2 linked regions of the Drosophila melanogaster genome follow. Changing the gene in region 1 together with any one later gene gives a genetic interaction. Each region holds a gene or a part of one and is shown on either strand. Other genes may lie near its edges.

Region 1 (3,932 bases):
TTCAAAACGGAGATCTTAATGTACAGCAAAGCTCTTCCAGAGCTCGAGAGAATTCTCCGGGAGGCAGGGGATACTACCAAGCTCTATGCGCCTTGTATCTATCACAGCTTGGAACCTCATCAGGTGATGATATTCGAGGATCTGGTGCCACAGGGGTACACCGTCATCCGAGATCGTTATCCTAATAAAGAAGAACTTCAGAAAGCCTTCTTCAAGTTGGCAAAGTGGCATGCAGCCAGCATGAAAGTTTTAAATGAGGTGAACTAGTGCACCATCCATTGCAAAAGATAACAAAGTAAGAACTTTTCTTTTCAAGCGACCTGACTTTCTTAAGGAATTTAAGTATGGGTTATGGGGCATGCCCAACTTTCTGAACGATTCTATAGTGACAACTGGAGTACCCTGTTTCCTGGAAATGTTAGACAAGGTTCCGGAACTCACGAAATATAAGCCGTATTTCGAAAAAATAAAGGATAACTACATTCAGCAGATGAGTGCAGTCATGGAAGAATATCGCACTAATCCGAAGCCAAATAGGTACTACGTGCTGTGTCACGGGGATTTTCATGGGCGCAACATGATGTTTAGGTATAACAAGGAAACAGGGTCTTTCGAGGACGTAATGCTGGTGGATTTCCAGATCAGTAATGTTTGCCCCCTTTCCATTGACCTAATTTACTCCATCTTCATGGTAATGGATACGGAGGATCGTTGGGATCTTGGAAAGGAATATATCAATTATTATTTCTCTGTTCTGGCGGACACTCTGAAAAAAATAGGCTTCAAAGGTGAAATGCCAACTCAGACAGGAGTGTGGGAGCATATTCATGGCCATAAGGATTACGGTAAGGAACTAAAATTGAAAGACAGCTGTTGACTTGTATGCTTATTCCTTGTTACATCGTTATAGAATTCTTCATGATGACCAGCTTTCTACCCCTGGTGGCTGCCATGAATACGAAAACATTTAAAAGTATGGATTCATTTTTTGATCCGCAAACGAAACAAAAGTCTTTCTTTTTGGATGAATACATTACGGATGTCAAGATGCTATTGCGAAAATTCGAAGAACTGGGATATTTTAAAGATCTTTAATCCGATTGTATAAAATTAATTGAAATAAAAAAATAACTTCACATTTACCTACATAATTGCACTCGTTATTAACAAACATATACGTGTAAAGTTGCATGCATTCAAGGTAAAGTTCTTTCCCGCTATTGATTTCGAAATTCTAAAAGAAACATTTAAAACATACATTTATTATTTTATTGCTTATATATATTTACTGAAATCCGTTTCTTGCGTTTACCAAATATGTATATTATTATTATAAATAAAATCTTGGAATTTGTTTTATTAATATTGCTGACATCATCATGACTTCACATCATGACGGATAGGGCTGTTAAATTATAAACTTAAAGTTGGCAATGTGTCATTCAGTAATCAAAAAAGTCATTATCCTAATCATGTTCGGAACACGATGTTAAAGAATAGAACAAGGAAACAGAGGTCTTTGTGGCAGTAGTGATTTCAAGATCAGCTACACATATGCGCTCCAATACCATTGTCCCAATTTACTCCAACATCAAACTGAAAAAAGTGGGCTTCAGGGAGATATGTTCCCTTCCAGGAATCTAAAAGCATATCCATGGCCATAAGGATTACGGTCTTACGTCTTACATTCTGTCAAGATGCAGTTTCGAAAATATAGTTATAGTGAAACAACATAGTTATTTTGAAAATCTGTATCACGATTGTATAAAATCGGGCAAACTTGAATTTAATTCGTCTTCAAACATTTGATAATCCAGTAAGCTGGACTAACATTAAACATTTTTAGCGTTTTATACTTCTTACACCTGACCTAAATATTATTTCATAGAACAGAATAAATATCTGATTTATTTGTAAGTTTCTATTGATCACAGTATTTGTCCTGTAGAACAGATTTCAATGCATATTGATAAGATCATTGAGTAGACGTATTTCACACAAAATCGAAAAGTTTCGTGTTAAAAGGTTCAAGCCGCTTTCGAAAGCTCACTTAGCCAGCCTTTATAATAAGTGGGCACATAGGAAGGTTTAGTATACCCAGATCAAACATCATTCCGAATTGTTTGTTGAGAGCGCGAAATAAAAATGCCAGAAAACGCAGATACCGAGCAATTTAATGCCGATGAGCTGGAGGCTCCTGCATGGCTGAATGCCCAGTTTATTACTGACGTTCTTAGAACCTACGAAAAGTGTCCGGAACTGGAGGTTACCGATCTTAAAATCACTCCGGCGAGTGCCCAGGGAGATCACTACGCAAGCGTAATGTTCCGTACTACTGCTGAGTATACCACTTCGAAAGGAAAGTTCTGTAAGCCGCTAATCATTAAAACGATGCCAGAACAAGAAGGACACAAGAAGGATATGCTTAGCGACTCACATTTGTTCTCCACCGAGATTAATGCTTACACTAAGGCTCTGCCCGAATTCGAGAGAATTCTCCGGGAGGCAGGCGACGATACAAAGCTATTTGTGCCCTGTATCTACCACAGTCTAGAGCCTCGGCAGGTGTTAATATTCGAGGATTTGGTGCCGCAGGGATACTTCGTGATCCGAGATCGTCCAATAAACATGAACGAATACAAAAATGTTTTCTCCAAACTGGCCAAATGGCATGCTGTTAGCATGAAAGTCTTGAATGAGCAACCTGATATCTTGAAAGACTTCAAGTATGGGCTAATGGAAATGCCTTCTATTATGTCGGATCCAATGGTTACTACTGGAATGGACAACTTTTTGAAAATGATGGACCAGATTCCTGAACTTACAAAGTACAAGCCACACTTTGAGAAAATAAAAGAGAACTACATACAGCGTATGGGTGATGTAATGCAGGAATATCGCAAGAACGTTCAATCCGATGGATACTACGTGATGTGTCACGGAGATTTTCATGGCCGAAATATGATGTTCAATAAAAATGAGGAGGTCATGTTTGTAGATTTCCAAATCTGTAACCTGTGTCCCATTACAATCGATTTGAGTTATTCTGTGTACATGCTCATGGAGCCAGAGCAGCGATGGGATCTCGGAAAGGATCTTATTAACTTTTATTTTTCGGTTTTGGAGGACACGTTAAAAAAAGTTGGCTACAAGGGCAAGATGCCGACCAATGATGGTCTGTGGAAGCAAATACACCGACACAAGTTTTATGGTAAGTGCCTATTTTATTTATCGCCTAGTTTCAATAAGCCTAACCACTTCAATATTTTTACAGACTTCTTCCTTTTAACCACTTTTTCGCCAATGATTGTGGCCGTTAAAGCGAATACGTTTAAAATACACGAGTTAATTCAAGATCCGGAAATCAGACAAAAATCATACCTCTATGACCCTTATGTTCAAGATGTCAAAAAGCTTTTGGGTAAATATGAGGAAATGGGATACTTTAACGATCTTTGATCTATTTTTAAAGCTATCAGTTAAAATGTGTATATATTGCATGGCTAATTGATCGCAACTATATGAACCATGTAATTTTTTAGGGTTTCCTTTTGCTTTAAATTAAATAACAAAACGTATCATCAAATTAAATTTTTCTTTTTTTTTAATTTGGGTGTAAAATACTCATGGAATATTTGTCTGGAAAGCTTACTGTATGTGGAAGCCCGAATACTTTTGATCGAATGTAACGCAATCTTCATTAGCCCTTTGTCACTATTCATCCAAGAATCCAGATAGCTCGAATTCTTTAATAGTTCGCTGAAGGAAAGCCCGATACTTGGGGTTTTCAACATTTTCCCGGCGGAAACGATCACCGCTCTCAGTGCGTGAGTTCAGATCCTCAAGGTTTTCGAAACCAGCTCCCTCCCTGAAGATCAGTGGAGTCAGGCAAGTGGCGCCAATGACACCTATAATGGTGGAGTCATTATGAA
Region 2 (3,932 bases), on another chromosome or scaffold:
GAAAACTTAACTGCCACGAATTCAGTATACCCTTATTACGTATTGTAGAGTAGAATTCTAACAGAGGGATGAGATGGTTATATTTTCTAATAATCACATAACATGATTAACGTTTATTATACATAAATCTACAATTATTAAAGATCAAATCGGTTTATACACCAATGTTTTACCAATGATTACTGTTACCGTTATTTTGTCCTTATGTGCCCATCTCTTATAATGTATTAGTATATTTTACGCACTTTTGTAAGATGGGCCTGTTTACAATAAAAAAAGATGTAAAATTTAAAAGAATCTATAAACAAATTATTATGAGGCACTGTACCAATTATAATGGTCTGAAAATACTGCATGTATTCGCATTTACTCTTGTCAATATTAAAATCATGAGAATTCAGCTGTGTATATTCGTAAGGAATAAGGACCCAAAATCTGTGCCGACGTCCACAACCAATCCACCCAATCAGTTCCGACTTAACCGGGGTTCTTTGAAAGCCCTCTTAAGTCAACAAGCAACAATAGCAACAACGAGGTGAAACATTTTGCCCAAAAATAAAGTTAAATGCGAAGGCTAAGTCGCACAAACATTTCAAATACGTAATACATGTTTTAAAACTTTCTGCGAAGAGTTCAAAAAGCAGCGGCGAACTTATGTATGTAACAGCAGAAGTATATTAACAATTACACTTAAAAAAATTTCTTTTTCAACGATTGAATCAACGTAAGCTGGTTGAAATTCTGAAAATGCATTGCAGTTAATGGCAAATATTTTACATTATTAAAATGTAACCGTAACCTCAACCAAAACTTGCCAAATATATGTAAGTTACAACCGGCAAAACACTCAAAATGTCAAACATTTGTGGAATCATAGTGAATGCATACCACAAAAGCTGAATATTTATAGCTGTAACTGCAATAAAAGTATTTAACGTTAAATCTGCTCCCTAAGCCATTTGGAGATTTGTGTGCACTTTGTTTCAAGCTTGTGCGGAATTAAAGGAGAAGTGACAGCAAGGTTCTATGATGACAGTTCTTATTGGAAGCAGGCGACAACTTGGGCGTAGTGCTGGTAGCGTTTGAACTGGTTGAGAATTATAAATACACCTGTCAAACGAACCTATATTCTTTCAACATTTATAGCGTCAGCATACGAAAACACAATAAATAGCTCTCAGTAAGTTAGTTACAACTTTTCTGCATGATGTTTTCAGCATGAAGACGGCATATATAGACACCATGCATCTTTTCATTACACAACTAAAGAATCAGCAGAGTCAACCGAAGACCCGCTGGTGTGAGAGTTCGTTCCCCTGTGCGTCCTCAGACCACTGTTCGTCCTCTGCGAGTTGGAATTCCTGTCACGGACTCCGCTCGCAGCTTCCAGTTCGAGTCTGGAGTCCATCCTCATTCATGTGGCGTCTGGCGCACAGCTTATACTCCTCCTGACTGCTGCTACCGCTGCCTTATTCACGTTTTGCAGCCGGCCAACTGTCCGGTGGGCGGTGCGTGGGGAGGCGATTTCGGCTGGTGCGAGAGCGCGGATAGAACACCACGCCCTCTTCGTCTACTGGCTGTGCTCTAGAGCGGGAACGAGCTACTGACGCTATCAGCTGAGAGCGCCGCCATTTGCCACTACGTGAGAGCTGCGGAATGAGCGTGTGTGCAAGCAGGATGGCAGCTCATGCGCGACATCGCACTCACTCACACTGGCGCGCGCACATCACGCACGCAAACACACGGCGAACGGGGCGGTGGAGTTTTTTGGCTTCTGGCGCTGCGCTCGCACAGCGTCCAAACATTCCCAGTTTTTCAGCTGCGACGGCTGGTTGTCCTCACGATTTTGAGTAGATCAGCTGCAGACCAAAGTCGGTAGTCGAGTTTCGAATTTGAGTCGGTTTTTGTTTTTGGAAGCGGTGCGCGTATTCGATTTTTGTTTTGACTTGAGCTCGGCTGTAGTTTCGGTTTGCCAGAACTGGATCGAAGGAGAATCGACACAGAAACAGGGAGTTGGCGAAACGGATACAAAACTGAAGTTGGATCGGTAATCGCCTGCCCGGTCATAAACAACAACACAAGGGAGCACAGCCGCATACGCATACGCGCCTCTGTCTCTAATGCCTTATCAGTAACAGGCATCGTCGAGTGTCGTAGGAAGAGCCCGACAAAGGCCGACCTTTACCACTCAATTTGGATCTGATGTGCCATTCTCGCGCTGTCTCGTAAATTAATGTCATAAATTAACTTTAGATTTCTTACGCTAACCGGTGGTCGTCAGCGGTCCGAAAACGCCTTTGCGCTCGAGATACAGGGGCGGTTTCTAATCAATACAAATATCCTACCTGCCGCCGAGTCAAGTGTTTTAGTGAGTGTGTGACCCTATGTTCCTTATATTACCTTGGTGCTAAGGAGAAAGTTTAAAAAAAGCGGCATTCAAATCGTAGTTTGTGCAATAAGAAAAGGCAAGCCAATGGTGTCAATCTCTAAGACAACGCCGAAGTGATGCATGTCCGCAAAGTAATAGATCAAGTTGTGCGCACACTTATTACCGGCGAGCCTAGCCGGGCATCTAATCGTGGCCAGTGTCAAGTGTCCAATAGCACATCTAGCCGGGGTGTAGAGGATTACCCAAGACCAACGTAGCACCGCAGCCCTTTTAAGGAGGCATAAGGCTCGCAAGACACAACGCACAGCCTACACAACGACAAACATAACACGACCGACGGACATCATCCTTGGAAATAGACCTCGTGTCATTCCAAAAGACGCACATGGGCGTCTGCACCGAGGAGCGCCCTGTGATGCATTGGGTAAGTTCTGCCGCCGTAGCACATAAAATCCAAAGTTACCAGCGATAAGACTAAAAAATAAGTCATCCACCAGTCCGTCCCAGCTCACCCAAACTCTGCCCTTTGTGATTAATATTGATCCGAGCCTGGGTTACTCGGAGTTATCAATACCAGACTGAAAGCTTGCCTATCAACAGACAGCCCCACTCAATATCGATAAGAAAGCCGCTTGGGCATTTCAGATTAAAAACAGTTCCCAGAAGTGTTCAATCAGTGGCTAGTTCGCTCGTTGAAACATTGCTGTAGAACGCGGTTACAAAATTTCAATGTGATTCCCTGCCTTAATTTTTATTCATCTAACTTAGGTTAGAATCATTTAATGTTTAAGAAGGCAGATTTTTGATGATAGTCGTACTAATCAATATACAATCAAATTGGGCGGCATAGTCGTGCAAAAAAATTAATAGATATGTAGAAATCAAAATACAGGTAAAACAAATATGTACGTTTTTACGAAATTTTTGTATATATCTGATATTCGACGCGAACGTATTCAGTTTTAGAGAATAATCACCGTGTGCCAATATATACCAATTTGATATATTTTAATAGTAGTCAATTGACCTTCAAATACTAATTTTTAACGCGAATAAGGCATTTTCTACCACACAGAGATATTCTTGTACCATTTTTTTGAAAAGAACGAATTGCCTTGATGAGTTACATGAACATCTTTTACCTATTTTTGATTTTGTCATTTTTAATTGCTATTCCTATTTTGAAACATAACGCATTCCTTATACTTTATGCAAACAATTTTTTGTTACTTTACAACTTTGGTGTTTGAAATCTGTGTGTTTGTTTTAATTCCCATCTTTTGTATGTTTTCCAAATGTCATCGATTACTGTAAATCGAGATGTACGAGTATTCGAATTCTAGTCTATATATACCACATCTATATATTGTACAAGAATTGTATAAGATTGTATTGTATAAGAATAGGAAAATCGTAAATAAATTGGAAGAGTAAAATGGTATGAAACATTCGTTGAAAAGTATGTAACAGACAGATGGAAGGGTTACCGACCCTTATAAGGGATATCCTTGATTAAGGTCAATAGCCGAGTTGATCTGGCCAT

Evidence for each region.
Region 2: of CG11893 (region 1) and ap, changing one enhances a phenotype caused by changing the other (phenotypic enhancement), as found in Drosophila melanogaster (one study listed by BioGRID).

What each region holds. Positions count from the first base shown.
Region 1 is NT_033777.3:25,287,782-25,291,713, forward strand, and holds CG11893 (uncharacterized protein), read left to right. Parts: upstream 1-2,107; 5' UTR 2,108-2,145; coding exon 2,146-3,211; intron 3,212-3,274; coding exon 3,275-3,459; 3' UTR 3,460-3,585; downstream 3,586-3,932. Other genes in the region: CG13658 (uncharacterized protein), read left to right, coding at 1-258, 317-845, 911-1,095; CG31098 (uncharacterized protein), read right to left, coding at 3,715-3,908.
Region 2 is NT_033778.4:5,724,702-5,728,633, reverse strand, and holds the start of ap (apterous), read left to right. Parts: upstream 1-1,801; 5' UTR 1,802-2,774; coding exon 2,775-2,813; intron 2,814-3,932. UniProt on the Drosophila melanogaster protein: Required for the normal development of the wing and halter imaginal disks.